Callithrix jacchus: one gene and its partners. The protein of the gene in region 2 interacts with the protein of the main gene of each other region in a pairwise test. Links are inferred from orthologs where the notes say so. Each region holds a gene or a part of one and is shown on either strand. Other genes may lie near its edges. The genes, in order: CCDC42, MID2 and UNC45A.

The links.
Region 1: the proteins of MID2 (region 2) and CCDC42 interact in binary tests that used the Homo sapiens proteins (3 or more experiments, as listed by UniProt). The two-hybrid records come from large-scale screens. The link is inferred for Callithrix jacchus from reciprocal best matches to the Homo sapiens genes MID2 and CCDC42.
Region 3: the proteins of MID2 (region 2) and UNC45A interact in binary tests that used the Homo sapiens proteins (3 or more experiments, as listed by UniProt). The two-hybrid records come from large-scale screens. The link is inferred for Callithrix jacchus from reciprocal best matches to the Homo sapiens genes MID2 and UNC45A.

The regions. Positions count from the first base shown.
Region 1 is NC_133506.1:75,253,814-75,264,338, forward strand, and holds part of CCDC42 (coiled-coil domain-containing protein 42), read right to left. Parts: intron 10,006-10,525; coding exon 9,808-10,005; intron 4,550-9,807; coding exon 4,226-4,549; intron 4,123-4,225; coding exon 3,964-4,122; intron 1-3,963. UniProt on the Homo sapiens protein: Essential for male fertility. Required for sperm development.
Region 2 is NC_133524.1:104,388,103-104,398,627, forward strand, and holds part of MID2 (putative E3 ubiquitin-protein ligase MID2), read left to right. Parts: intron 1-3,943; coding exon 3,944-4,659; intron 4,660-10,525. UniProt on the Homo sapiens protein: E3 ubiquitin ligase that plays a role in microtubule stabilization. Mediates the 'Lys-48'-linked polyubiquitination of LRRK2 to drive its localization to microtubules and its proteasomal degradation in neurons.
Region 3 is NC_133507.1:19,497,897-19,508,521, reverse strand, and holds the start of UNC45A (protein unc-45 homolog A), read left to right. Parts: upstream 1-4,803; 5' UTR 4,804-4,843; coding exon 4,844-4,894; intron 4,895-5,060; coding exon 5,061-5,228; intron 5,229-5,503; coding exon 5,504-5,540; intron 5,541-5,829; coding exon 5,830-6,005; intron 6,006-9,487; coding exon 9,488-9,580; intron 9,581-10,081; coding exon 10,082-10,249; intron 10,250-10,625. Other genes in the region: HDDC3 (guanosine-3',5'-bis(diphosphate) 3'-pyrophosphohydrolase MESH1), read right to left, coding at 801-931, 1,229-1,469, 1,580-1,635, 1,949-2,060.

The DNA of each region.
Region 1 (10,525 bases), on a different chromosome or scaffold from region 2:
ACCACTCAGAATGGCTATTATTAAAAAGTCAAAAAATTACAGATGCTGCTGAGGTTGTGGAGAAAAGGGAACATTCACACACTGTTGGTGGAAGTGCAAATTAGTTCAACCATTGTGAAAAACAGTGTGGCGATTCCTCAAAGAGTTAAAAGTAGAACTACTGTTCAACCCAGCAATCTTGTTACTGGGCATATACCCAAAGAAATATACATCATTCTACCACAAACACACATGCACGGGATGTTTACTGAAACACTATTTACAATAGCAAAGAGATACAATCAACCTAAATGCCCATCAATGGTAGACTAGATAAAGAAAATGTGGTACTTATACACCATGGAATACTATGTAGCCATAAAATAGAATGACATCATGTCCTTTGTGGGAACAGGGATGGAGCTGGAGGTCATTATCCTTCGCATACTAGTGCAGGAACAGAAAACCAAATACTGCGTGTTCTCATTTAGTAGTGGGAGCTAAATGATGAGAACCTGTGGATACAAAGAGGGGAACCATAGACACTGGAGCCTGCTTGAAGGTGGAGAGTGGGAGGAGGGAGAGCATCAGAAAAAATAACTATTGGATACTAGGCTTAGTATCTGGTTGATGAAATAATCTGTACAACAAACCCTTGTGACATGAGTTTACCTATATAACAAACCTGCTCATGTCCTCCTGAACCTAAAATAAAAGTTAAAAAAGATTTCAGTTCTAAAACTTCTGTTTTTCAAGGCTGTCTCTGGAGATGAAAGTACGCAGACTGTCCAAAGCTCTTGACAACTGTCAGCTGCTGACACTGTTACTATTACCAATATCATTCCCATTGTGCAAATGAGAAAACAAAGAGTCAATGAATTAAAGCAGCTTTCCCAAGAAGACAGGTCAGCATTTCTTCAGCTATGTTCTCATATTAAATGGTCACATGCCTCAAAGGAGTTCTGTGGTCAAGTCAGTTTTAGAAACACTGTCTGCTGGGAGCATCTCAGGGCATAGCAAAGACTCCAAGTCCTGTTTGTTTTTTAAAATCTTATCTTCGTTTAATTTCAAGTTTTCTAAATCTATTAGTCTATGGAGTCCGCTTATTCCCCCTAGGAAACAGTATCTCAGGATTCAGTTTGGAAAGTGCTTGTTCAGATAGTTTGGCTTTTCTTCAGGGATAATGCCAAACCTTCCATGACACACTCTATGGAATTCAAATTGCCCTGGCCTTCTGCAGAATCACTTTTCCTAAGCTGTCCTGTGCACCACGTTCCTTGTTCTGTATAAGCAGCTGCTTTACAAAGCCCGTGCCTGCATTGCTTGCAGGGATGCTGTTGAGGACATCATAAAATGTCAATGAAGGCTCATCAGGAAATTTCTGTGAGAGCTAACTGCCAGGAAGAGGAAACCTTATCTTTTCTTATTCTGGTATAAGAACTACTGGTGGCTTTTCATTTGGGTTGCCAGGAAGCTGGCAATTAACTGCCCCCGTCTAAGGCCCTTAAGAACCAAGGGCAGTCTGTATTTCTCTCCGTCCTTGACCTCTGATTTCAACTTGTACTTTCCCAGGTCCTTAATTTTAAATCTTTAGGCTACTTGGTCATGTGTATTTCCATGAGTAGCTTCATCTCCTATGGGAACGAAGTGAGATATTTTCAAATAACTTTTGGGCAATGTGAAGTTCTCCTGTAGAGGTAAATCCAAGTTGAGAGGGATTCAGAAACTCAAAATTTGGAGTGGATGGACTAGAAGCTATGGTCTCAGCAGGGGATGCACTTGTGGGAGTGAGGGGGTGGAGAGCGGCATCTCCCACTGAATCTTGAGAGTTTTGCTCTTGCTGCCCAGGCTGGAGTGCAATGGCACAATCTCAGCTCACTTCAACCTTCACCTCCTGGGTTGAAACGATTCTCCTGCCACAGCTGCCTGAGTAGCTGGGATTACAGGCACTTGCCACCATGCCTGGCTAATTTTTGTATATTTAGCAGAGACGGGGTTTTACCGTGTTGTCCAGCCTGGTCTTGAACTCCTGACCTCAGGTGATCCGGCTGCCTTGGCCTCCCAAAGTGCTGGGATTACAGGCGTGAGCCATGGCACCCCACCATCCTGCTGCATCTTTCTTCACAACAGCTAAGGGCAGGAGCCTGAGGACCTCTGGGTGGCCGAGGGGAGGGGGACTGAGTTTTTTTTTTTTTTTTTTTTTGAGAGGAAGTCTCACTCTGTCACCCAGACTGGAGTACAGTGGCTCGGTCTCGGCTCACTGCAACCTCTGCGTCCCGGGTTCAAGTGATTCTCCTGCCTCAACCTCCCCAGTAGCTGTGATTACAGGTGCCCGCAACCATGCCTGACTAATTTTTGCATTTTTAGTAGAGATGGGGTTTTACCATGTTGGCCAGCCTGGTCTTGAACTCCTGACCTCAGGTGATCCAGCTGCCTCAGTGCTGGATTACTCCCAAAGTGCTGGGATTACAGGCATGAGCCATCTTGCGCAGCTGGGCCTGAGGATTTCTGGGAGTCTCTGATATCCTATTCTGGGGGACAGGGGTTTTGAGGCCAAAACTCTTTTTATAATAATAAAAAAATGTTATTTGCCTGTTTTGCTCTTATTCTCTCACGAGTCCACAGTGGCATTTCTCAGAGTGGAGTTTCCATGACATATACTGTCACAGCAGAATGAACGCAGAAGCAGACATGAGCACCTGCCTGTCCTCTGTTAAACCAGACATTAAAGCGATCTGCAAGTATGTCAAACAATGCCACTCTTCTCACAAAACACTTCTGAAACCTTTTTCATAAAAATGCTATTTCTATTGACATACTTTTTATTATTATTCAAAATAAATTAATTAAATATTTTTAAATTTTCTCTTTTAATTTCTATTATGGTAGTTACCAATAGATACAACCCCTATAAAGGAAAGCTCTCTGGGAGTCCTCAATAAACTCTAGGAGTGTAAAGACGAAATGCTGAGAATTGCTACCTTCAGAACAAACTTTCTTACAAGTTTCCTCCTTTGGGTTGTAACATAATTCTGTTCAAACATGCTTTAAGGTGTAGGCTGATTTTTTGTTTTAGGGAACTTCTTTTGCCTTGCTGTGTATATTTCATGAGTTTACCCCCCCTTGTTTTTTTAAGTAGGGAAAGTGCCTCTCAGTCAATTTTTTTTTCTCGGTTCATCGCAGCCTCTGCTTCTTGGGTTCAAGTGATTCTTCTGCCTCAGCCTCTAGAGTAGCTGGGATTATAGGTGCTTGTGCCACCATGTCTGGTTAATTTCTTTTTGTTTTTTTGAGATGGAGTCTTATTCTGTCACCCAGGCTGGAGTGCAGTGGCGTGATCTCGGCTGACTGCAACTCCCAGGTTCAAACAATTCTCTTGTCTCGGGCTCCCAAGTAGCTGGGATTCAGGTGTGCACCACCATGCACAGCTAATTTTTGTATTTTTAGTAGAGATGGGCTTTCACCATGTTGGCCAGGCTGGTCTCAAACTCCCAATCTCAGGTGATCTGCCCGCCTTGGCCTTCCAGAGTTCTGGGATTACAGGCATGAACCACCAGGCTCGGCCTCCAATTTCTCTTTTTAACAAATGATGGGCCTCAGGTTCAGGCCTTCAGCAAGTCACAGTATCTCACTAGAATTTAATAAGGCTGTTTTATACAACTAATGGATTCAATATGGGTCCCTTGTATACTGGAGCCAAAAAGGGTTTGGTGCTAATGCAAGATTCTCAAAGTATGGAACCCGAAATCAGCAGCTTCACTTGGGAACTTGCTGAAAATGTAAATTCTCATCTCAGATCCACTGAGTCAGAGACTCTGGACGTGGGGCCCAGTAAGACTCCTCCCCCTCCCAGGTGATTCCGATGTTGTGAAAATTTGAGAGCCCCTCCTCTGCTGCTCTGTTGGTTTCATTGTTCCACCCAACCAATTGGTAACCTCTTTGGCCCAGCAGACCCAACGGCTCCAGGGCCTGTCTCCATCCTCCTACCATGTCCAGCTGCTTGTGTGTGTCCTCCAGCGCCACCTCAGTCGCCTCCTTCAGCTGCTTGCTCACGATCTGGAAGAGGTTCAGCGTGGCCATCTTAATGGTGCCAAGCAGGAGGGTCTTCTTGGCTGCAGTGTTCTGGATGTGCGCCCAGCGAGATTCCTGGGGAGGGGATAGGACGGGGCATGAGCACAGAATGTGTGTGTGTGTGTGTGTGTGTACTCAGGGCTCTCACTCACCCAGTACCCGCCCCGGGCCCCCTCACCCAGATGATGACGTTGCTGCGGGCACGGTCAAAACGCATCTGCAGCCTTGCCAGCTCATTGTTTTGCTGCAGGATTTCATCATCCTTCTCTTCCATGTAGTGTGCCAGCCGGGCTTTGGCGTGCTCAATCTTCTCCTGCCCCTCCTGCGCAGACTGCATGAGGTCGTGGTGCATGCTCACCAGTGTCTTGTAGCGCGCGATCACCTCATGGATCTCCTCGAACTGCGGACAGGGGCTCAGGACAATGCACAGCCAGTCCCAGGGGCCTGATGGAGCCACCCAGTCCTGCCAAACCCCAGCCTGGAGGCCTGGACATCTGGACATCTGGGGAGACAGGCCCTTGGCCAGTGGAATGGCCGGAGGCTGTGAGGAACATTGGGGTTCCCGCTGCCTGCCTCTCCTGGGTTTGTATCGGCCATGGTCCATTTGATAGGCTGGGGGGGATGTACAATTGGGCCAGGGATTTCTGATCTTAACTGCATGTTAGAATCACCTGCAGGGGCTTTAAAAAGGATACCTGCCAGTCTCCACCCCCAGAAATTCAGATGAATAAACAAGTCTTCTGTGGTCTCTGACACCTGAATTTTGCAAAAGATCCCCAGGTGGTTCCAGGCACAGCCAGGGTTGATAGTTGCTGGTGGAGGGCATTTTGATATGTCTCCCAAGGCAAGAATTTCCTATTCAACAAGGTTGTACCAAGAACCACTTATAAGTCAGGAGCGAGGCGAAATGCCAGGGAAATAGCAGGAGATAGGAAAACCAGACTCTGATTTTAGGAAGATTATATCCCGAGGGGTGGCATGGAGGGAGGACAGACAGACAAGTAAACAGTTACAACAGCAAGATAAGCCCTATCTTTGACTGGGGGACAGGGCTGGACAGGAATCTGGGTGAGCCTTCCAGTTGGTGACCTCTGGTATTTGTTCATTTGCTGAGGGAGAAGCGGGGGCTGGAGAGGGTGCTGGTGGGGCAGGTGGCCTGCCAGATTCAGCTCACCTCCTCCGGCATGGTCCAGAACCACACCACTCTGGCCCTAATCCTCAGGTCCTGCTCAGTGGAAGAGAAGCCCTGAAACCAACCCTGTTTAGAAGGCAGAGCATGAGCACCAGTTCGGTGATGCCAAGTTGCCTTCCTAGGGGCTTATCAAAGCATGCCTTTCGGCCACCCAGGGGAAACTTCCTGAGCACCTTCTCCATCTCATGACATCGCCAGTGACAGGTGGGTGTCCTGGGAACTACCCTGCTGGCCTTTCCCCAAATATGCCTCTTTGGGGAAGGGCCACCCAACTCAGCACTGGAGGGGGTAGAAATAGCCCAAAAAGGTTTATTGGGAGAAAGGGTAGCTGAAATGAGACGGGAGGAATGAATAGATGACAGCCAGCAAAATGAGTGTGGGGAGGTGATGCAGTACTACAGGTGGAGGAGGCAGCCTGGGTAAAGATAAACAGAATAGGGGGTGGTATGTTCAGGATGTTCAAGGTAGCCTGAGTTCAAGATGGGGAGGAAGAGATTGACAAGAAGAAAGAAGGAAGAAAGAGGGAAGGAAGAAGAAGGAGAAGAAAAAAAAGAGAAGGCAAGAAAGAAAGGAGGAAAAAGAAAGAAAAAAGAAGGAAGAAAGAAAGAGAAAGCAAGCAAGCAAGAGTTCAGTAAACCTTGGGAAGGAGTGTGGACTTTATCCATTGAAGGATTTTAAGAAGCAGAGAGGGCTGAGCGTGGTGGCTCCCACCTGTAATACCAGCACTTTGGGAGGCTGAGGCAGGTGAATCACGAGGTCAGGAGTTCAAGACCAGCCTGGCCAAGATGGTAAAACCCTGTCTCTATCAAAAATACAAAAATTATCCAGGCATGGTGGTGGGCACCTGTATCCCAGCTACTCGGGATGCTGAGGCAGAGAATTGCTTGAACCCAGGAGGTGGAGGTTGCAGTGAGCAGAGATTGTGCCACTGCACTCTAGCCTGGGTGACAGAGTGAGACTCCATCTCAAAAAAGAAAAAGCAGAGAGACAGTTCACATCTACATTTCTGAAAGTTCATCTGGCACACAGTGCAACAGCGTACCACAGTTCAAATAAACGGACTACATCCGAGCTACTAGGAACACACCTCTAAAACTTAATGCTGATGCCAAAATGATTCAGGTGTCAAATGGAAGAGCCTCCAGTGCCCAAAGATGAGATGATTTGAACATTAGTAAGAATAAGTGCAAAGGTTTAAAACATACCAAATATGTTAAAAACCTATAAGTTCACAAGGATACTAGAAGCATTACAGGTGGGTGCAATTCATTATTCTGAAAACTGTAAATAAAGCATTTAACAGACTTTCTCTGTAAGACCCACACAATCATCAAATGGGAAGGTTCTCTCTTATGAAGTCCTTTTCTTTAATGGTAGTGTTCTAGCAAATAAACGAAGAAGGGCTGCTAGTGAGTATCTTCCCCCCACCATTGAGGAAACCAATATTCCGACTTCTATCACTAAAGATTAATTTTACCTGTTTTTAAACACGAGTGGAATCATGCGATATAACCGCTTTTGTGTCATGCTTAAGAAGCATACCAACTAAGGGCAGTGTGAGGACCTTAGTGGACCACGATTGGAACAAACCAACTGTACAAAAAGCATCTGTGCAATAATTTGTCTTAAAAGATAGGATCTCACTCTTGCCCAGGCTGGAGTACAGCGGTACAAACATGGGTGACTGAAGACCTGACCTCCTGAGCTCAAGCAGTCCTCCTGCCTCAGCCTCCCACGTAGTTGGGACCACATATGGGTGCTACCATGCCTGACTACTTTTTATTTTTAAACTTTTTGTACAGTTGCGGGGAGGGTCTCACTTTTTTGCTCAGGCTGGTCTTGAACTCCTGAGCTCAAGTGATCCTCCCACCTTGGCCTCCCAAAGCACTGGGATTACAGGCATGAGCCACCATGCTTGCCCCATTTTGTGCAATAAATGATACTGATATTTTATGTTAAGGAATTACTATCAGTTTTATAGTAGGTGTGACAATGGTGTTATAGTTATTTTACAAAGAACTCTCATCTCTTAGAGATACATACTGCAGAGAGACATATATGGTTGAAAACATACCATTTGCTTCAAAATGGCAGAGGTGGGATAGTATGGGGGATGTGACTATGAATTGATAATTACTGGAATCAAATAATGAGCAGCAGGTGTTCTATACACTGTTGTATTTACTTCTGTATATGCTTAAAAATTTCATAAAAAGTTACAAAACGTTCAATGTTATAAAATAATAAAAACAAGCATGATATGAGAATTTTTAAAAGCAGGATACTCGGCGTCTGAGGAGAGGTGAAAAAGCATGAGATTTGGAAGGACACAGGATTTCATTTATTGGATTTCAATTGTCAGTAGTGTTTAAGACAGCAGAACTGGGGGCAGATGGGGAAAGATGAAGATTTAGCAAAGCTATGTGATGAGTACTTGGTTGCTGTTATGTGTGTCTCTATACTTTCCAGTATGCTTAGAGTATTTTGAACAAAATAAACAAAGAAGAAAAGAAAGAAAGAGCGGAGTGGGAGGAATGTAAAACAGGCTGGCCAGGAATGACGCCGAGTGGAACTCCAGATGAGGTACCACTGGTGGCCTGGATGGGGAAGGGGCCGGGACTGGATTCCAGAAATACTTCTAAGGCAGAACAGACCAGATCTGCTGATTGATAGCTGTGGCACTGAGCAAGAGGGAGGAGCCAAGGAGGCCCAGGTTCTGGTGGAGCTGTGGGTGGGTGGTCCTGCCATTCGCCAGCACAGGACAAACCAGCAGCAGGGCTGGCCTGGGGGTGGCAGGAAGCAGATGAGACAAGTGTGCACGGGGAAGAGTTAGATATGGGGGTCTTAAGCTTAGAAGCGAGACACAGGCCAATGTCCTCAATCCTAAGATACATATTTTAGCAACTCTGAACTCAAGACACACCTTACAATATTTTGTTTTGTTTTGAGATGGAGTTTCTCTCGTCCCCCAGGCTGGAGTGCAACGGCATGACCTTGGCTCACTGCAACCTCTGCCTCCCGGGTTCAAGAAATTCTCCTGCCTCAGCCTCCTGAGTAGCTGGGATTGCAGGCACCTGCCACTACGCCAGGCTAATTTTTGTATTTTTAGTAGAGATGGGGTTTTGCCATGTTGCCCAGGCTGGTATTGAACTCCTGACGTCATGTGATCCACCCACCTTGGCGTCCTAAAGTGCTGGGATTACAGGTGTGAGCCACTGCACACCTGGCCACATCTTGCAATTTATCGGCTGTTTTAATACGGTAGTCCCTCCTTACTTCCTGCCCGCTTCCCCAGAAACTCTAACCATGAAATGAACCACTGACCTTATAGTACGTAGCAGCTTTGAGTGGAGGAAATAACGCAGATGTGGGACTCATGCATGAGTAAACTAGGTGAGTGGTTTGATATGGGAATTGTGGGAAATTTAAACAGCTGGGCATTCTGTCGCCCCTCCTCTACCAGGACATAGATCCACGTGCCTGGAGGGGGTGCCTCTATCTGCCCCGGTGGGGGGCTCTTCTGGCTGTTGGTCACATGGGGGAGGAGATAGTGTGACATGGGTGGCATCCATGGAAGGCCCTAGGTATTGATCAGGGAGAAAAGTAGAGGATCTGGGACAGAGCACCTGGACTCACCACATAAGAAGGACCTGGGAAGAGGCCCTTCTCCGCCCCAGCCAGGAGCCTGAGAAGAAGGGCCACAGAGTTCAGGGCAGTGGGGGTGGTTTCTGGTTTCTGGGAGGGGCATCAGCAGTATTACACTGCAAGAGCCATGCTGGAACTGAGAAGTTCTCTGGGCTTGGGCCACAGGGATGGCAGGAAGAGCCCCGGTCAATTACACTGTGGGGCCCACGGAGAAGTGGCTAAAAGCAAATGAGCTGTGAGACTGATAAGCTGTGAGACTCTTGGCAAGTGACTTAACCTCTCAGAGCCTCCATTTTCTTCTCTGTAAAAGGATGATCAGCTTGGGTTCCCCTTGGGGCTGACCAGAGAACTGAATGAAGTTACCCATGTGAAGCACCAACTCCCAGGACATCTGAAACACCCCAGTTTGTATGGTGTTTCAATACCAGGAGGCTGGGTGTTTTTCCAGCTCCTCTCCTTTCCCCTTCCCAATTTACTCTCCAGTAAACAGAAGACACTGAGAAGAGGGGACACAGGGATAGAGAGAGGCCACCTGCTCACACACACACGCACACACACACACACACACACACACACCCCTTTAGACAGACACAGCCAAGGATACACATGTAGACATAAACATGCAACTCATGCAAGACATATACACAGTTGTGACTCAAGACATACCACTAGGCCCCACCCCTTGGGAAACTCATCCAGCCTCACTTGAGGCTTCTTTTAGCTGCCCCTGACTGCCCCCCAAGGACTGGTTGCATCTCCTCAGAGTAGGGTGCCCATCCCTGCAGAGTCCCTGGGGCTCAGAAGGTCCACAGTCTGAAGCCAACTGAGCCTGAGCTCCACCCCATTGCCCCAAGCCCCAGGAAACAGGAGGTGGGGCTGAGGCAGCTGCCAGGGCCAGCCGCTGCCGGGCTCCTGGGACTCACCTCGGAGTTCTCCACCACTTTCTCTAGGTACTTGTTGAAGATGGAGTAGTCCTGCAGCTTGGCGCTCAGACGCTGGTGCTCCAGCCGCAGCGCCACCATCTCCTGCTTGCCCCTGGTCAGCTCCCGCAAGTGCCGACACTTGAGTTCTCGCTCCTTGTTGACTTTCTTCATGGCTCGGATCCGTTTCTGGTCGTTCTCCTGGGGCCGGGGGAAGCAGCACTGGTCAGGAAGCCTCGCCCGGTCCTCCCGGGGCCCAGGCCATCCTGGGGCTGGTGGTGCCCTCAGACCCCTCCATGTGCTCAAACCATCCTGGGAACAGGCAGACTGCTGGGCCACCCATGAGGCAGAAGCGGGGTGAAGGAAAAGGCTCTTAGGGGTATTTGAAGCTGCTTGAGGAGATTTCTGTGGACTGAGGTGGGGCTCAGGGGGCTGTGAGGACAGAGGTTTCATCCAAGGTCAAGAGGTGGCCCTGGGGGCGGGGGGAGGGCAAACAGGAAATGGTTCTTTCCTGTGGGACTTGGGCTCTGGACTTCAGAGAGTGGACTAGGGGAGACCTGCATTGCATCGGGCTCAGAGTCTGGAGAGAACTGAACCCCTTGATAAGATTGAGAAAGTCCCGAAGTGGTAGCAGGAAGACTTCTCACAAAGCTTCTGTTGTTTCTGTTCTTCCCGGTGGCCATTTTCCGTGGAGCAGAAGAACCACTCCTGGATCAGAGCT
Region 2 (10,525 bases):
TTCCAATAGCTGGGACTACAGGCGCGCGCCACCACACCAAGCTAATTTTTTGTATTTTAGTAGAGACGAGGTTTCACCATGTTGGCCAGGATGGTCTTGATCTCTTTACTTCATGATCCACCCACCTCAGCCTCCCAAAGTGGTGTGATTACAGGTGTGAGCCATCACGCCCGGCCTACTTTTTTTTTTTTTTTAAAAAATGATAGTACCTACCTTTTAGAGAGTTGTTGTGAAAAGTAAATGAGATAGTGCACATAAAGAGTATTGTAAAGATGCTTAGATAATAAGAAAGGTAGGAAAAATGGGGGGTAATTGAAAAGATTCTGAAATATTAGGAGTACCCAGAAAAAGAACACCTCATAAATTAGAGATGATTGAACACGTTTGAAGAAATTCATAAAAGTATTCAGTTCCTGAAAATTGTCCAAAACAATTACTATATGACAATTAAAAATCAAACAGATTGGAAACAGTATAGAAAAGTTCTAATAAGCAACAGAGAGTAACTATCTTGTAATATTCTTTATAGAGCTGAAATCAATTAAGGTAGGTTATTTTAGAGTACTAATGATTGGCTTTTTTTCTGTCAAAGATCCTTGAGAATCTTTTGAAAGCTATGGGCAACTTTTTCCCCAGAAAAAAAAAATGCATATATGACATACAAACCACATTCTGCAAACAGTTCTAGGAAGTTCAGAAGTCCCTGGTTAATAAATCCTATTTTGATCTTACCTAAGGCAATCCTGACCCATAGCCTGCTTTCCCAGGCTTAATTTCAGAGTGAGGTTCAAGTGTCACACTGATTTGGAAACAAATTTTAGAGTTCCAGGCAAAATTTAAGAGCTTTTACTCTGTACAGGACAATTTATATGGCACCCTCTTAAACCTTAGGAAAGCTTTGGTACTCTAATTGTTCTATATGGGTTTCAACACACACAGGAATGGCTTTCAGCAGTACTTCTGACCAAGCCAGGTAGCTTCCAACACAGACATTGAGGAATGTAGGCATACAGTTCTAGAAGAGATAGTAATAAAAGTGCAGTGTGAGGTGGAGATGGGCCTAGAAGACTGAGATACAATTCTGGAAGGGACTTAGAATGAAATAGGCGGATTCAGAGAAAGTCAGAGAGACTGGGGGAGATAAAAATAGAAGTGGAAACATGCTGTTTAGAAATCCTCTTGTAAATAGTCAAGATAAACCTCAGTTAAGGAGGTGAGTTGATTGAAATAAAGGTGTAGGGAAAAGAGCACAGGCATTGGCGTTATACTGACCTGTGCTCTGGGTCTGTATGTTCTTGGTTGACTTATTTAATGACCCTAAGTCCCAGTTTCCTAACTGTAAGGTGGATACAGTAAGAGTAACTTCCTCCTAAGTTTCCTGAAAGAATTAGTGAAATAATGTGTAAAGTGTTTAACATAGTACTCAGAATACAGGAGGTGCTCAATGAATGCTAGGTCCCTTCTTACTCCTAGTTTGATACTTCATTAACTATTAATGAATATAGTTTGTGTGAAGCACAAACTTGTGCTGTGAATGAAAATATAAAATAGTTGATACCCTTAAGGAGAAGGAAGAGTTAGCCGGAGATACAGCTATAAAAGTGAAATAAAACAGAATGTTCCGGAAGCCACCAGTGGTTGAGGTGATAAAAACGTGTAGATGAGAGACCTCTTAGATTTCTAGGCTTGGATGATGATATTCACCAGATAGGGAAAATCAGAAGAGGAGCAGGAGTCTTTTGTTTGTTTTGTCTTCTGGAGGTGAGGGGGAGCACAGCAAGTTCATTTATAGTCATGTTGAATTTGAGTATCTGAGGAATATATCAAATGGAGCTATCTAAGGCAATATTCCTGCTGTCAGTGGAAGTTGGAATCTTCATTTCTCAAGTCTCTTCCAATACTAAGATTCAGTGATGTGTGTACATTTTAGTTGTTGACTTTTTCCCCTATATAGGTGAATGTTGATAGATGTTATAAGCTACAAAATACTGACCAACAACTTTCAAGCACCTGTTAATTCTAGAAGAAAAATACTATGTTATCACTTTTTAAAAAAAGTGATTGTATAAACATCTGAACCTGCTAAACCAACTGAGAGAGTGATTTACAAAAAGATTCTTCACTTTTATAGCCCCATTTTATATAAATTTTCATTAAATAGGTAGTTGAGTGCATTTAAAAGGTTTGATTTAGAAACAGCTTTTAGGTATATATATATATATAGTACTTGGGCATAAAATATAATTGTACTCAGTATTTATGTATCCTGGGAAGTCTGCAGATATCACTAAAAATTACAATATCTGAACAAATATCAATGGCAGAGTGAAATTTTGAAGCCCTGATGAGAGTCTCCAGTGATGACAAGATGATTAACAAAAAATACTCAAAAGCAAAAATTACTTTTCTTGGGCTCTATGCCATGGCTTTCTCCTGTAATCCCAGCACTTTGTGAGGCTGAGGTGGGTGGATCACTTGAACCCAGGAGTTCAAGACCAGCTTGGGCTACATGGCAAAACCATGTCTCTACAAAATAAATAAATAAATAAAAATTAGCTGGACTTGGTGGCATGCTCCTGGAGTTGCAGGAGGATTGCTTGAGCCCAGGAGGTGAATGTTGCAGTTAGCCAAGATTGTACCACTGCACTCCACCATGAGCAACAGAGGGATACCTTGTCCAAAAAAAAAAAAAAGAAAAGAAAAGAAAAAGAAAAAGAAAAAGCAGGAAAGATACGCTTTTTCTTTCCTATACATAGGATTAACGTTTTCAGTCAATAAGATATGTTTTATGTTTTTCCTTAGTTAAGGCCAATTTAGAATATTTATCTGTGTGTATTTTAATTAATGGAAGACCCAAGGCAATTAAGAATTAAGTACCTGTGTGTTCAGCACAGAAATGCCTGCAGGAGAATAGATAAATTTACCAACAGGTTGGTTTCTTGTCAGTTGGGTGACTTCTTTTACTCACTGATGCACACTAAATTGAGGATTATGAGATCTGAAAATTTCTGGCACTTTGCTATTTCTATCTAGATCTTGATTTGCATCCTGCTATGTTTTAGAAAGTATGAAAATACACATGGGCGATCAGCTTCATAGCAGGCTTGTGCTAGTTCAGCAAGTGTTTAGTAATAAAACCAAACTGAAGACACAAGGCAATATGACTTTATCATTGATCAGCAACTATTGCTGAGTAAGTTGAAAAGTCTGAAATCATTCCTTGTTCAGCTCGATGAAATGAAGGGGTTTCTGAAGGTGAGAGAAGAAGACGACAGTGAAAAGTATCATCTTTTGTCTTGAGTAACTCAGTTTACTAGGAATGGAATGGAACAGAAATTTCCATGTGTGATAATAAAAAGTAATTGAAGTTCACACTCTGAGGAAAAACTTATCCAGTACCAAAATCTTCATTTTCCTAAAGCTCTCTCTTTTTAATGCAGGCTCTCAAAATGGAATCAATTCAGAAAGTAGAGAGTTACTTTAAAATGTGGCATTGTTTTCCTTACACTGGATGTGACATAGAAGCAGCCCCTACAGTTTACCTTGAAGTGAAATAGAGACCAATATTGGAGAATAGAGATTGGGAATTTTGCAGGGCCTCAGCGTCATTTTAGTCTGGGAAAGAGATGTCAGTGGAGAATATATGAGAGAATGATCCATGCCAATATTGTGAGCTGGAATGGTAATGCTAATCAGTCTGACAGGATTCAGAGGTGACCATTTAATTTTACCTATTAGTGCATGAAAATAAACACAGGCATTTGTGTAAAACAAGGTTTGAAGGGGAAAAAGTCTTCCTGATTAATTCCCAAATTGCTTTCCTATTGCTTAAGCATCCCTGGGGAATCCAGCATGTAAACGCTCCCATTGGTTAGTGCATAATTATGTTATATCCATTTTCCTTTGGAAATGCGTAATGACTCTTGCTTTGTATTCCTTGCAGGTGAAAGCCCAGCCTCTGTGGTTCTTAATGCCTCAGGAGGATTATTTTCACTAAAGATGGAAACACTGGAGTCTGAATTGACCTGTCCAATCTGCCTAGAGTTGTTTGAAGACCCCCTTCTGCTCCCTTGTGCTCATAGCCTCTGCTTCAGCTGTGCCCATCGCATCTTGGTCTCAAGCTGCAGCTCTGGTGAATCCATTGATCCCATTACTGCTTTTCAGTGTCCTACCTGCAGGTATGTTATCTCGCTGAACCACCGGGGCCTGGATGGCCTCAAGAGGAATGTGACCCTGCAGAATATTATTGATCGCTTCCAGAAGGCTTCAGTCAGTGGGCCCAATTCCCCTAGTGAGAGCCGCCGGGAAAGGACTTACAGGCCCAGCACCGCCATGTCTAGTGAGCGAATTTCTTGCCAATTCTGTGAGCAGGATCCACCAAGGGATGCAGTAAAAACATGCATCACCTGTGAGGTCTCCTACTGTGACCGTTGCCTGCGGGCCACGCACCCCAACAAGAAACCTTTCACCAGCCACCGCCTGGTGGAACCAGTGCCAGACACACATCTCCGAGGGATCACCTGCCTGGACCATGAGAATGAGAAAGTGAACATGTACTGTGTATCTGATGACCAATTGATCTGTGCCTTATGCAAACTGGTGGGTCGTCACCGAGACCATCAGGTCGCATCCCTGAATGATCGATTTGAGAAACTCAAGGTAAGGGATCTGGGGAACAGCCCTTACACAACTTTGTCTCATAATAGAGTTATACAGTTAGTAAGTTCTCTAATAAAATGGGTGACTTTTCCAATATGACAAGTGAGTTAACTTTAAGTTGTTCTCATGAGGATTAACCTGCTCACCTGCAAGCTCTCTCTGGAACCTATCTGATCTGTTGCATAAACATGCTTGCATTCATACCCTTCTGGCTAACTTTTGGGGAGTCAGCTTATGGCCTGCGACACCAGTAGTTCATCCAGGGAAACAGCACTCTCTCTCCTCTGTCAGTGACATATTGCTTATTATATATCTTTGCTATGATCTTTCCACCTCTTTTAAGTATGTGAGTACTTGTGTAGGTGTTCTACAATTAGCATATGTCTCTATTTGCATATGTAGGTATATGGCAATGGGAAGGCAGGGTGTGTCTCTGTGTAGGTGTGGGTGGAGGTGTCTGAGTGTATCTAGGTAGGTGAGAGATTTTTGTGGAGGACAGTAATGTATGTTTATGTTCATGTACTCAATACACTAAAGAAACAAAAGTTTGGCATTGGCCATTACAAATTGCCATTAAGCATTTAACACAGGGCTAATTCTAAGCCTGCCTTTAAAAACAAAACAAAACAAAGAACTGAAGAAACTTCAGTAAACCATGAAATCAGAAGGGATAATTAAATATCTGAACTAAAAATTTAAACTGAAGGCAAATATTTCATCCACTATCAAATTTTGTGACAGTGCTTGCTGTTATGGGCTACAGACTGAAGCATTTGTTTATAGTTCCTACCTTACAAGTTCCTAGTTTTTATATGTGTTCTGTGGACAGAGTTTTCTGAAGTCATTGTGTCACATAATATTTATGTACAAGCCTAAGTGCCCATTTAAAAAAGTCCTCCTGCCTTACACTAATGATCCAGCAAATTGTTTTATTCCCATTGCTTGCCTATTATGTGGTATAATTTCTTTTAAGAAGTGAGCTATTTAGCAGCTATTCTAGAAAAATAAAATGTTTAAATGGATAGTAAAATTGCCACTCCAAATAGAAGCTGAATACATAAGCCAAGCTAGAAGAAAGGCCCAGATTGGATAATTTGTGGTAAAATTTCTTTTAAGAAGCCAGCTACTTAGCAGCTATTCTAGAAAATACAATGGTCTGTGCCTCTTTTGGTTATTATTTATATCAGATCTGTATAGATGTGTACAAAATTCAATTTTTTATTTCACTCAAGGTGATATTCTTATTCTATCAAGGCTGCAGAGGACAACAATCTTGTTGACTTCAATTTTTAGAATCATAAAATGTTAGGCCTTTGACTTGGTCTAGTCAAAGCTCTATACTTTAAAGTTGTATAAACAAATCTTGATAGATTAAGTGATTTGGTCAAAATCAAAGAAATGATTAGTAATGGGAAAGCTAGAACTGGAACTCAGCCTCTAGTCTGAGTTAACTATCCTTTGTACTGTAGCCGGCTGCCACTTTGTTTTGGATCTAAGTTTTCCCCATGAAATGTGATTTGAAACTTAACTTTATGCTTCTGCAACTGTACATTTCATGATCATAGATAAAAGATTAATGACATCAAAGAAGGGACAGATTGTTTAAACTTACAGCCATATAATGGCAAAAGATAGGAGCGGTGCTGTAGGAAGAGTGGGGATGTGAAGAGGACAGAACAGTCTTTGCCAAATATTTGTAGGTGTTGGGAGTATAATAAGTCATTGACCTTGAAAAATGTTCCAAACAGAAAAATCTGTGTCCATATGCACTGTTGAGATAACAAAAAGACTGGCTAGTGTAAGCTTGTATCTACAGAAAACTAGCTATTTGAAAACATCCGAAAACATGAAAACATTGGATGATTGATTAGATATTTGGCATCATGAAGCTACAGCCCTCATCTCCAGGGATGGATGGAACATGGACATATTTTACCAAAACATACTTTAGTCTGTGACTAATCAGTAATTTTTGGAGAAAGAAAGCCAGATTTTGAATAGTCCCCCTTTAATATTTTAGGAAATGTGCAGAAAATTCTGATTATAAATTAAGTGGAAACTATTTTTGTTCATTTTTGGATGGAGAGTGGAAACATATGAATCATTCCCAACCTTGTGGTTCGTTATGTTGTCTGGAACATCTTGGAGTTTTGGGAGGGTGAGAGAGGTACTGCTTGTGTGTGCGTGTTGGCGGGGGTGGAGGGGTCACTTTGGTTTGGTGCCAAATATAAAAGGGTATTAATTCTCCATGTTAAGCAGAGAGGAACTCTGGCTTTTAGTGTCACATATACTCACTTCTTTAGGTTAATTTTAAATTGGAAGACCATTTAGGATTACCCCTTTAATCTGCCTGATTCTTCCCCAAAGGAGAAAGTTGGCCAGCAGGAGCTATGCGAGAGACTGCCTGAGTATATTCCCCTAGTCCTGGCCCTGAGAGAAGCACAGGAGTCTTGTAGGAGGTAGCACCCATACTATCACTATTTCCTTGTATCTAGGAGGTTGGCTTTCTAGCCAGTAGCTGATACAGTGTTTATTTTTACTTTTTGGTTCTCGAACTTCACTGTTGACATTTGTAACTACTTTTTATATACAAACCTCCCTGATTAGGATTAGTGGCTTCTAATATTTATTTGTTCAATAAAGAATAAGCAAACCATTATGTTGTAGATGAAAGGTCAGAATAAACAGAAACTAGCCTGTCTTTTTAACATGTACTCAAAATGGATTAGAGGGCTTGGGGTACTTAGTATAGTTTCATGATCTCATTCAGTTGTCTAATCTACCAATAGGATTGAGATGCAGGACACTTGTCTTTCAGCAGGCTATCAGTAGTTCAATTAATAATTCAATTTCAAGGAATATTTTTATTCATTACAGTTATTGGAGTAGTAAGGCCTATCTGAGTAATTATTTTCTCCATCACCTCTCACTTTTCACACACGAGTCCCAATATATATCTTAGTTTATGATATATGGGACCTTTCTATAAAACAGCTTCACATTTTAGAATTTTCATTATCACATGAGTTTCTATCCTTATAAAAGATTGTTGTTATTGTTTTAATAAATTTTGGCTTCATAAAAAGAGGTCAAATTTCGGTGACTATTGCTGATATACTTCAGTATTCTAAGTTCTGTACAACTTCTTTCTTGTGCTGTCCATGTATTTTCCCCTCTAGTCCTCTCAAATGTGTTACCTTCATCTACCCAGGTGAGCCTCTTAATCGTCTGCAAAACATACCATTTTCTTTTCTGGATTCTTAACTCTTATTAGTGTTCTTCTCTTGGCCTGTTTACAAATCCTACCTATTCTTTTCTTTTCTTTTTTTTTTTTTTTTGAGATGGAGTTTCGCTGTTGTGGCCCTGGCTCAGCCTGAACCTTAGCCTCCTGGGTTCAAGTGATTCTTCTGCCTCAGCCTTCTGTAGCTGGGATTACAGGCATGCACCACCACGCTTAGCTAATTTTGTGTTTTTAGTTGAGACGGGGTTTCTCCATGTTTGTCAGGCTGCTGGTCTGAACTCCTGACCTCAGGTGATCCACCTGCCTCGGCCTCCCAAAGTGCTGGGATTACAGGCATGAGCAACCGCACCTGGCACAAATCTACCTATTCTTTAATGCATAATTCAAACCCCATAAGACCACCCCAATACATCGCAGCTACATCTTCATCTCCTTCAAGTCAGAAATAATGCCTTTTATTTCTTTGATATTCTCCTTAGTGTCTTGTACACATAGTATTTGCTCAAGAAATCTAAATGAATTCAGTTTTCATAATGGATTTGCAGGAAATATACCAATATCTATAGCTTGCTTTAAATCTCATCTTAGAAGATATAAATCTGTCTTGCCATAATGTATACCCTGAAAGTCTGAAAAAAGATCTCCCGTGAACTACTGACAATATTCAACACCAGACTGCTAGTAAAAGTAAGGCATGCCGTTAATTTTAAGTGCCTATTCATTTTGATCACTGGATTTTCCAACTGCCTAACCCTATGGTGACATCTGTATAAATCACATGTGATTATATTAATTCTCTTTGAGAGTGATGTCTTCACATTTCCATGCCCACAGACTGCCAAAAATATAGCTGATGAAAACCAGGGGGAATAGAGGAATTTCCTGAAAGGAATAAATAAGCACATTTTCTTCTTCTCATTATATTTCCACAAATTCATTACTACAAATAATTCTTAAATGCAGTTACATTTACATACCAGGGATCTTGTTATGAAATGTTACCCGGCACTGGGCACTGGGCACTGGAGTAAGCCTTTTATCATGGGAAAGTTAAAACACACACACACACACACACACACACACACACACACACACACGCGCGAAGCAAGACTGGAAAAGAGAAAGCTAAAGGTTGCCAGACAAAGAGAAGGGACATATGAGACTTGGAGGATGTTCAAAGGAAAGCCACAATGAGAGTTAAACGGTTGGAAAATACAATATTCTAGAATCTTATCACAGTTGATTACTTGTCCTTCTTCCTACTCAGTCACTCTGTCATCCACCCACCCATTCTCACTCAGTCACCACCTTCTCTCAGTCATTTATCTACTTACTCACTTGACACCCACTACTGTCTGCCAAGACAGATACCCTCTCAACCAGTGTACTAATGGGCATATGACTGTTTCTCAACCAGCATAAGTATAAATATGAGAGAAAGAAACCGAAATATAAGAGACTGGGTTGAGTGTATATTTGCATACACATGTATGCATCACTATACATGAGTGTGTATATCCTGCATAAATATGTGGCTGAGAATGACTCTGTGCCTGGGTATGAACGTATATCTATAAAATGTGTGTCATTGTATGTGAAGAGAGAGTGTGTAAATCTTCTGATAAGTTGGGTAGGAGGGGACCATGAGTGTAACGCAAGCTTTCTGTTGCCACCCTAGGTAGAGTTAGAGCCTCAGCAGAACCCATCTTGAGGCTAGGGATCAGTCTAATAAATGAGCCAGATAAGAAAAATCTTCATGATAAGAAAATCTCATGATAAGAAAAATCTTCAATGGAGGCCAGGGTGGGTTACTATAGGTGAAGGAAAAGAAAAATGTTGTTTCTCACTCTCAGTCAGGTACTAAATCACAGTAGCTAAATATAATAAGAACAAAACGTTTGAGACCAGATTAATGCTCTCTAAGGTCTGGTGCTGATGGCAGTGAACATGTGAGTATGGGGTTGGGGACAGTATCTGACAGGTTTCTCAGCTAAACCAGCCTTCAACTCATGCTCATAAAATTATTCTTGCTTGTAGATCTGCCTTCTCTGTGGTCTCTTAAGTGTTCCAGACTTGCTCCCATCACATACAATATGTATAAATCTGTATATGTTTCAAGTGTGTATGTGGATAAAATAAATTTTATTTCATCTCTACTCAAACTGTGCTTTAAGACTCATTTGAACCCCTATTCTTTTCTTTGCAAGATTTATATTGATTTCTGTCTCTGAACTCATTTATTATTAACAGGCCCCTCTGTTGGAAGATGTTTTCCATTGTTTCTTTGGTTTGAGAGCAAGTTTAGCAAGTAGATCCTCCTATTATCCGTACTCTCGTCTTTCTGTTTTTCTGTTATTTCTTTTGACTCAAGTTTTCTCTTCACCAGCATTTGAAAGGAGCTAACAGTAACTTGTTTGAGAACAATTTACAAAATGTTGACTCAGAGATTGTTCTTGGGTGGATGGAAATCCTGTCTGTTATTGTTGGGCAAAGAAACATATTACAGAAATATAATATAGTTGAGGAAAGATTAAGGAAACAAGAATTACTGAACTCAAAGAAGTGAGGTTTAAAGGGAAATATGTGATAATGGTCTTCAAGTTCATGAAAGGTTGATATAATGAG
Region 3 (10,625 bases), on a different chromosome or scaffold from region 2:
ACTAAGCCTATAGATGATAACCTCACTTACTACCCTTCCCCCTGCCTGTACCTAATGAATAGATGCTTCTGCATGTTCGGGGCCTTGCCTGTCTCCCCTCAGGTGGCGTGGCCCCCCCAAGTCCAGATGCCCTTCACCAGTTCTTCAGTGTCCTGTCTATTTCTTGGATCCTGCACTTCAGCACAGCATAAGGGACACCCCACAACCCTGTGGGGCCAACAGCCCTACAAGCACCTATGTGTCAGGCTCCATCAGGCACCTCACAGTCTAACCTGATAATTACACAACCCATCTCACTGATAAGGAAGCTAGGCTCGGAGGGGCTAAACCCCCAACCTGAGGGAGGTGATGCAGGGACACACAATTAGAACCCTGCTTTGCTGAAGGACAGGTATGCAGCCTACCAGTCCCCAACCCAGGAGGCTGGAGAAGGAACAGCAGCAATTTACACCTTTACCCATAGTTCTTTTTATTGACCATAATGACTTAGGAACTAGTACTTACATAATCTCAAGTCCCTGAGGGAACAGAGATCCCACCATGCAAAATAGCAAACAGACCCAAGACTTGGGGAGAGGCAGCGAGTGCATCAGAAATGGATGGGTACATCTTATTCCCACACTCAGGGGGCTCAGCTTAGTTAGCAGGAGACCTTCAGATTGAGAAAAAATGCAAGTCTTTTTTTGGCCTCTGGTATCTGGGAAGGATGGAGGGAGCACAGGAGGCACAGAAAAGGTGCGTGAATCCTGTCCGGCCTGGACGAGGCTGGAGTTGTGCTGCTGAAGAGCTCCAAGCACTGCTCAGAGTGTCAGTCCCCGCTGCTGGAACAGACGTTTTAGAGCCTCTTCCAGTTGCTGGTTTGTTCCCTGAAGCCCCTTCACCACCTGCGCTGCCCACTCAAAGTATTCCTGGACTCGCTGTTCTGACCATCCTGCATAAGAATCGGCAGAAACCTGCTAGCCTGATGTCAAAGACAGCACTGCCTTTTGCCTGCTTCCTGGCAAGCTTGGTTCAAGGCCATGAGTTCCTGATGGGATGAGCTGTCCCAAAAACTTGCCTGTGGCTCAGCTATTGTATTTTGACCATAGGAAGGCAGATCAAGAGTGGTATAGTAGAATTAATTTGGGAATTAAGAATGCCCAGAGTTTTTCAGGGGAACTGACCAACCTGTGCCTTCAGAAGGTGGCATCCCCCTCCCCTTTCCCTTAGAACCCATAGGAAAGCGTACCCTCTGGGGTGCAGCGATTCAGGTCCCTCAGATTGTGCAGCTTGTCTGCCAGCTTCACCAGTTTGGCCCCGGGGCTGCTGTGGGGCGCCTGCTCCACCTGCAGCCGCTTTCTCTCCAGCTTGGGCAGAGTCTTGTCATCTGTTACCTCCTCCACCAGGCACCGCACCTGTGCCCCAAAGTGTAGCTCCACCTCATCCAGAGTGGTGTCTGTGTCCTCCACCGTGTCATGGAGCAGGGCTGCCTGGGGACAAGTTCCCATTCAGCCCTGAGATGCTAGCCAAGGGATGCCCATTGCTGAATGGGGCCCCCGATCCCTATCCCAGACTCCTGGCAGAGAAGTGGGGAAGTTACCTGTAACACTGCAATGTCAGTGATTCCCGCCTCGTGGGTCAGGATCCGAGCCACACCTGACGGGGAGGGGCAAAGCAGGAAGTCAGCTCCGGGGGAGCTCCAGGGCTGTGTGTTGTGGGTTTCGGAGAGCCAGATGTGGCCCCTTGTGGCCTCTCACTAGCTGGGTGACCTTGGTTAAGTTCTTTACCCTCTCGGTGTAGACCGGCAAAGGGAACGATCACGACTACCGCTCCAATTGTTGTGAGGCTTAAATATCGCACTATGCTTGGGACAAAATAGATGCTCAACGAGGTGGACGCCCCCCACGTCTCCTTCCCAGTCCCCGCCCCCCAGGCGCCGCAGCCGGTGCCCCGCGGCCGAGGTGCCCACCGATGGGGTGGTTGATGTAGGGGGTCCCCTCCGGGTCCTTCCGCCGCTGCTGACGATGCTTGTAAGCTGCGAAGTCGGCAGCCTCCAGCAGCTGCGCCGCCTCGGAGCTCATCGCGCGGATGCGGCGGGAGACTGCAGCCGCGGGGAACCTCCACGGAGTATTTACAGCGCCCTCTGGCGCCAGGGAGGCCCGGGGGGGATCATGGAGGCGAATTCAGCGGCCTGAGTTGGACCTGGCCCAGGTGGATTCCTTCGGAGCTGACATGCCCCGTGCAGAGAGCAAGCGATGTGCGAAGCTGCCTTCAGCATCGCGGCCCCTAGCTCAGTGTGCTCTGTTGGGGGTGCAAGAAGAACATAAGCCTGGCTCTCTGGGAGCCTACAGTCTGTGGAAAAGAGTAAGACAGACAAGAAATAAGGCAGTGGCCTCACCGTGCACTGAATCCAGGGTGGGAAGGCTCAGGTGACTACGGGAATGGGAAGAAAGGTCAATCCAGCTAGCCTCAGAGCCAGAGGCAGCTTCTCCCAGAAGCCCCCTCCATGAACAGACAATCTTCAACCTGTCAAAGCTCTGAAAACGCTTTAAGTGTTCTAAAAATAGTTCTCCCTGCAGTGACGGGCCAGGTTCTCTCGGCAGGGGAGCCTCACCTTTGGACCTAGGAGATCCTAGGGCCTGACCTGAAAAATCAGAGCCTTCTCTGGGATCCCTGCCTAATTCCTTCAGACTTGGGCTCCCAGGTAGCCATGACATTTCTGCAGAAACTGCCTTTGTCCTCAGTGTTGCTTATGAAATTTGCATTGCCTTCTTGTGCCATGAGTGCTCCTATTTCAGTCTCGAGGCACCTTCTGTAGGCCCCTGTGGTTATGAGTGTTATCAGTGCTGTTCTGGGAGCACGATGTTGTCAGGCCTGGGTAGACACTGGAATGACACTTAATTCTGCTGGCTGGTAGCCTTGGGCCTTCTGGAAAAATTCCCTGCCTCAGCAGCTATGAGGTATGAGGGGTAAGAGAGGCCTGATGATTCTCATAGAACTGCTCTGTGAGAAGGGGTTTGCTATTAGTTAAGTATACGCTAATCAGACAGGAAGCTTTTGTGTTCTGGCTGGTAGCCGGGGCAGATGCAGCTCAGGGGAAAAGCTAATGAAAGGACTCACCCTCGGTTTTCAGCTAGTCTTGGTGGTTGCCATGTCGCAGAGGTTAGGGAGGGGAGTGCCACATGCTGGAACTGAGGTCTCTGGGACCTGAAATAGAAGAGTCAGAATTCCCAGAGCTTCCATGGCAGCCTGGAAGTTGGAGAACGGGTAGAAACATATTTGGCTCTAAATGCCTGTTTGTTCTTCACGCTAACAACTCAGCTGCTCGCTCATCCCTCATTCTGGCTTCTAGTTCTTTGAGCCTTTCCTCCTTCAGCAGTTTGGCAATGCGGGTCCCATGTTTTCCAGCAGGAGATAGAAACCTAGTCCCTGCCATCTCTCTCTAGAAGCCTGTGATAGAGAAGCTTCAGGCTTGTATTCATGGTGCCCGAGGGCCTTGGGGCTTTGATTTTTATTTCCTTGTTGTCTGCATTCATGGCCTAGAAAGAGAGATGTTAGAGTTCCCAGGACCTGGACAGAGGTGGTGGTGAACTCTCCTGGGCATCCAGAGAAGGCCAGGCCCCTTGCTGACAGGTCTGTCCATGGGGCTACTGCTGCTCCTTGGCTGGGCCACCCTTGCCAGCCAACTTCTCTTTCAGGTACAGCACTTCCTCCTGTGACCCACTTTCCTCTTGTGCTATGGACGACTCCTGGGGACTGGAACTGAAGGTGATGGGTAGAAGGGTGTCTGATCTTCTGGTAAGGGCTGATGTCTTTTACCGTCCAGAAGGCATGGAGTGGGCTGTGGCAAGACCCCTCCTGCTTGTTTCCAGCCCCCCACCTTTCTCTTCAGCTCTGTCCACCATCCACAATTGTGCCAGACCACCTGGGATGCCGACGGCCACCACTACCCCGGTTTCCCTTGCCCTCTTCTCTGATTCTCCAGAGGAAGCCTACTGCTGCCACCTGAAGGCTGAATTTGAGGTCCTGTACCAAGTCAACTTGTCCGTTCTTCCGCCCCCACCCATCCATCCTTAGGTGAGATCTCCAGCCCCGGAGCCCCTGGAACATCGACAAGGTGTCTCAGTATCTGGGGTTCTGTTCTTAAACTATGGGGTGGGAGGCTTGTAAATTAGAGTTGTGAAGGGACAGACCGCAGCAGAAAATCATGTAGATCATGATCACGATTACAAAGGCGGCTGTAATCGTAATCACGATCAGGGGGCTGTGCAAGCGGGTAATGGGGAGCCATCCTGAATCTACCCATGGGTGGCTTCAGTGTGTGTCTCTAAATTCGTACGCAAATGTGTGCATGTCAGACTACGCTTATTTGGGGAGGGGGTTCCGAGCGTTCTCCGGACTCCCAGGGGTTCTCTACCCCCACAGAACGCAGCAGCGAGAGCGCGGCCAGGGCTGGGATCCTGAGACTTTTCTCTCTCCCGCAGGGGCCGGGGCCCGCTCCTAGCGCTAGGCGTCTACACTCTGCTGCTTGTGACCCTGATGGCCGCAGACCTCGTGCACTTCTGCTGTGGTCGGGGCCGGGGTCGGGGCTAGAACCACTGCAGGCCTCCCTTTGGGTCCTCTGCCGAGAGCTCCCTGCAGGTCTCCGCTGGGACAGCTTAGGGGTGCGCGGAGTTTGCTGGCACCTGTCATCCGGGGCGGAGCGTTCCGCCCCTGCCCGGGCGCGCCCACCCCTTAGCCCCTCCTCTCACTGACCCCGCCTCCGACGCAAGAGTGGGCGGGGCAGCTTCCGGCCGAGTCCCGAGCCCAGACCCGACCCGCCCCAGAGACTGCGCCTGCGCGGGCACTGGACTACCTCTCCGCGATGACTGTGAGTGGTCCAGAGACCCCCGAGCCCTGGCCGGCTACCCCCAGAGTGCGTACCCAACCCCCGCGCCATCACCCCTTCGCAACCGCGCTGACTGTCCCGGCCTCCTCCTCCCCATCCACGAGGCGCCCCTGAATCCCTCCTCTCCTCTCCTCTTAGCTCTTGGGCCCTGCCCCGAGCCCCCTCCGACGTGGCCGCCCCTTTCTCCCTACAGGCCAACTCAGTGGCAGTGGAGCAGCTGCGGAAAGAGGGCAACGAGCTGTTCAAATGTGGAGACTACGAGGGCGCCCTGGCGGCCTACACTCAGGCCCTGGGTCTGGACGCGACGCCCCAGGACCAGGCCATTCTGCACCGGAACCGGGCCGCCTGCCACCTCAAGCTGGTGAGGGAGCCGGGTGCCCTTCCCCTCCAACTTCCCCACCCTCCCGGGACCCGGTTTGGGCATCTGAGCTGTTGCTTGGGCCCCAGCTGGACATTCACGCTTCCAGGCCACCCCGCTTGCTAGATGTGGAATGCACCTCAGGGTCGTGGGGGATTGGGTGACCTTGGAGAATGAGAGTACCCCACTGCCCGGTTAGTACCCCCTAGAGGGAGGTGACCATTCATTCGGCTCCTATCTCCCCCCCTCCCCACTCGGCTTCTGTCTTTCTCTTACAGGAAGATTACGACAAAGCAGAAACAGAGGCGTCCAAAGGTAGGGAATGGTGGGCCCTCGAGTAGCACTATAGGGCTTCTGGAGGTTGAGGATTGTGGGACCATCACATTCCCCTCCTTTTGCCCCGGAGACACATCTGCCTTCTTTCTTTCCCACTGCCTCGGGCTTTGCCTTTTCTGCAGCTACCCTTACTTTTTCTGAGGCTGAAGCACCGAGCCCCATATTCGTCCCCCACCTTCCTCTGGCTTTTCCTCGAGATCTGTCCCTACTGCTCTTGCCTGACGACGGTGGCCTCATGGGTGCTGACAGCGCTCCTGTTTGTGCTCAGCCATTGAAAAGGATGGTGGGGATGTCAAGGCACTCTACCGGCGGAGCCAAGCCCTAGAGAAGCTGGGCCGCCTAGACCAGGCTGTCCTTGACCTGAAGAGATGTGTGAGCTTGGAACCCAAGAACAAAGTTTTCCAGGAGGCCTTGCGGAACATCGGGGGCCAGATTCAAGAGAAGGTATGTGAGTGACCCAGACAGGTGGAAGCACTGATCAGTGGTGAAGGGATCTGGGCCAGGGGTATAGACAGTTCTCCAGAGAAGAGATACTGATGGCAGGTGAACATAGAGAGTTCTGCTCAACCTTGCCTGTGGCCAGGGAAAAGCAAATTCAGATGACAGCACATTACTGCTGATTTGGTGGTCTGTTTGGCAGATATTTAAAAGAAGGGACACTTTTTTTTTTTTTTTGAGGCGGAGTTTCGCTCTTGTTACCCAGGCTGGAGTGCAATGGTGCGATCTCAGCTCACCGCAACCTCCGCCTCCTGGGTTCAGGCAATTCTTCTGCCTCAGCCTCCCAAGTAGCTGGGATTACAGGCACACACCACCATGCCCAGCTAATTTTTGTATTTTTAGTAGAGACGGGGTTTCACCTTGTTGACCAGGAAGGTCTCGATCTCTTGACCTCGTGATCCACCCGCCTCGGCCTCCCAAAGTGCTGGGATTATAGGCATGAGCCACCGCGCCTGGCCTGAAAGGACACTTTTTGAGGGGAGAGGCAGACATGTCAACGGTGAGGCCGGGGGCCAAGGGCTCTCTGATGACTGCTGGAGGGGTATAAATTGGTACAGCTCTTTTGGAGAGTACTTTAGCATATCTATTACATTTGAAACGAGTGTATCTTGTGATCCCATATGTTTACTTCTTGCTGTTTCGTTTTTTAAATTTATTTTTATTTTTTTTAAAGACAATGTTGGTCAGGCTGGTCTTGAACTCCTGACCTCAGGTGATCCGCCCGCCTTGGCCTCTGAAGTGCTTGGATTACAGGCGTAAGCCACCACACCTGGCCTACTTCTTGCTGTTTCTCTCAGAGAAACCTTGCCCATGGGTACAAGGAGACATGTGTATGTTTATTTCAGCCCTTTTTGTAGTAAGAAAAGCTTGGAACTTGCCTGAATGCCCAGCCATAGGGAAATGGCTGAATACACTGAGTAATTGAATTGAATTCAATTCAATTGAAGTGGAAAGCTCTGGGACACTTGTTGAATGAACAACACAAAATAGGCAGGGCATGGTGGCTCATGCATATAATCCCAGTGCTTTGGGAGGCCAAGGTGTGATGATCACTTGAGATCAGTAGTTTGAGACCAGCCTGGGCAACATAGTGAGACCCTGTTGTTATAAAAACTTTAGTTAGCTGGGTGTGACATACCCTTATAGTCCCAGCTACTTGTGAGGCTGAGGCAGGAGAATCCCTTGAGCCCTGGATTTTGCAGGTCAGTGAGCTATGATGGTACCACTGCACTCCAGCCTGGCTGAAAGAGTGAGGCGCTGTGTCTTTCCGAGAAGAAAAGAAGAAAAATATATAATAGCACACATAGTATAATATCATTTATGTTAATGATCCCTTACGTAGCAAAACAATGCTATATTTTTTCTGTGGGGACACTGGGTGTGTAAATAAAAAACAATATTTTATTTTTTTAGATTTATTTGTATTTAAGTATTTTGAGGCAGGCTCTCCCTCTGTCACCCAGACTGGAGTGCAACCTCCTCCTCCCAGGCTCAAGTGATCCTCCTATCTCAGCCTTCCAAGTAGCTAGGACAAATGCATGTCACCATGCTCATCTAATTTTTTTTTTTTTTGGAGACGGAGTTTCACTCTTGTTACCCAGACTGGAGTGCAATGGTGCGATCTCGGCTCACTGCAACCTCCGCCTCCTGGGTTCAGGCAATTCTCCTGCCTCAGCCTCCTGAGTAGCTGGGATTACAGGCACGCGCCACCATGCCCAGCTATTTTTTGGATGGTCTTGATCTCTTGACCTCGTGATCCACCTGCCTCGGCCTCCCAAAGTGCTGGGATTACAGGCTTGAGCCACTGCGCACCTCCCTCATCTAATTTTTATATTTTTTGTAGAGACAGGGTTTCACTGTGTTGTCCAGGCTGGTCTCGAACTCCTGGGCTCAAGGGATCTACCCACCTCAGCCTCCCAGTGTGTTGGGATTACAGGCGTGAGCCATGGCACCAGGCCAAATATGTATCTTTGTTTTTTTTTGTTTGTTTTCACAAAAATATTTTAAAAGATGTATGTCAAAATGATATCACTGTGAGCCCTGGGGAAAGGAGTGGGTTTGAGAGGGCTTTCCAAAGGAGACTCTGTCATCTGTTCATATTTTTTTAGTAAAGAGAAATTGTGTAATACATATATTTTTAAATTAGGAGAAAATAATCTAAAGACTATTATGAGCTATAACCAAGCTCAAATTCACCTGATAATTTGATGTTAAAACGCTGACACAGTGGAAGAAGGTAACATGATGGCAGAGACCTCACTGAAACAGTGAAACCCAGAAAAGCAAAGAGTTTTCCTCTCTCAGTGCCAACTCTGATTAGCAGTGGCTGCCCAGAGTCTCCTATGTTGAGAAGAATTAGGAAGCTGATTGCCTGAGCTGAGCAGGGAAATGTGCCGTGTCTGGTTAGTCATGGCTGCCATGGATACAAGAGGGTAAGGGGGTGGTCCACATGCTAGGCTTGTGCCACCGTCGATGCCCAGGACCCTGGGGGTGGGGGAGTAGGCCTAGGATGATCTTGCCCATTCAGATTATTATTATTATTTTTATAAAAAAGAAAAGGTTTTACCATGTTGGCCAGGCTAGTCTCAAACTCCTGGCCTCAAGTGATCCACCTGCCTTGGCCTCCCAAAGTGCTGGGATTACAGGCATGAGCCACTGTGCCCGGCCTATTATTATTATTTTTGAGACAGAGTCTCATCCTGTCACCCAGGCTGGAGTGCGGTGGCAGGATTTCTGCTCACTGCAACCTCCACCTCCCGGGTTCAAGTGATTCTCCTGCTTCAGCCTCCTGAATAGCTGGGATTATAGGCACCCACCACCATGCCCGGCTAATTTTTATATTTTTAGTAGAGATGGGGTTTTGCCATGTTGGCCAGGCTAGTCACAAACTCCTGACCTCAGGTGATCTGCCCACCTTGGCCTCTCAAAGTGCTGGGGTTATAGGTGTGAGCCACCTATAATCTGAAACACCAGGTTTCAGATTATGTTTAAAACAGTCAAAAGGAGAATTCCGGTGCTAACGAAAGTGTTAGCAACTACCTCACAATCTGCAGCCCCCTGGCAGGAGGCGTAAATGCTGAGTTCAGTGTCATGGGCAGCCCATTCATGCTGCCATAACATAGATGGCACCACTGGGAGTGGGTTACCTTGTGGCTGACAGGATACCTCCCCTCCCGAAAGACTCTACCTCCAGCATCGGCACTGTTCCTGCTGCCCAAGCAGGAAATAGCTCAGAAAGCAAAACAGCTGCAGGGAATGTAGGAGGTGCTACCAGGCAAGTCTCTTCCTGCCCAGGGTAGCCAGGTACTAGCTCTGAGTTTCGACATCTTCGCTGGGCTCCCAGAGTGAGGAGCTGGAGACAAATGAACAGGGAATGTAATGTCTCTGGCCCAGAGCCTTGATTTCTTCCATGCTTTGTTGGTTCATAGGTGCGATACATGTCCTCGACGGATGCCAAAGTGGAACAGATGTTTCAGATACTACTGGACCCAGAAGAGAAGGGCACTGAGAAAAAGCAAAAGGTATAGGCCCTGGGCTGAGTCAGTGAGTAAGCTCCTTCTAGAGCCACCCAGCCGTAGCACCTTTCACCCATGCAGGCCCCAGAAGCCCCTGCTGCCCTGCTCTGCCACTCCTCCGACCATGCAGCTGGCTCATGGGGCCTGGAGGGGAGCCCTGAGGGCCTGGGACTTTAGCATGAACCAAAGAAGGAGAACCGGTGTTCACAGAGTGCCTTGTGGGCCAGGCCCTGTGCCAGGAGCTGGGTGTACAAAGGTGACTGAAGCACTGTTCCAGCCCCTCAGTCTCTGCTGGGGACTCGTTGACGCTAATCGTCAATCCTGGGAGAAGGCTCTTCCCTCTATTTACAGAGGAAGAAGCTGAACTTCAAAGAGGTTATTTTTTGGCCAACGTCACTCAACTACGAAGTGGAAGCAGAGAGGTCCAGGACTTGGGGCCCTGCTCACCAGTTCTGTGCCCTATGCCATGTGCAGTGTCAACATTTTCATGTGTTTCCGTTGACATAGGCATCTCAGAACCTGGTGGTGCTGGCCAGGGAGGATGCTGGAGCTGAGAAGATATTCCGGAGCAATGGGGTTCAGCTCCTGCAACGCCTACTGGACACAGGAGAGACTGACCTCATGCTGGCTGCTCTGCGTACACTGGTTGGCATTTGCTCTGAGCATCAGTCACGGGTAGGTAAAGTGGAGAGGCTGGTTACTGCTTCAGTCCCTTTGCCTGTCTGTCCATCCATCCCTCCGTCCACCCTACTACCCATCTGCCTGTCCATCCATCCATCCATCCATCCACTCTTCCATCCACCCTTCCATCCACCTCCTACCGTTTATCTTATTCTAAAAGGGACTTAGGCTTGTCATGGTGCCTCACACCTGTAATCCACTTTGGGAGGCTGAGGCAGGTGGATCACTTGTCAGGAGTTTGAGACCAGCCTGGGCAACATGGAGAAACCCCATCTCTAGTAAAAATACAAAAATGAGCCTGGCATGGTGGCGTGTGCCTATAATCCCAGCTACTCTGGAGGCTGAGGCACGAGAATCACTTGAACTCAGA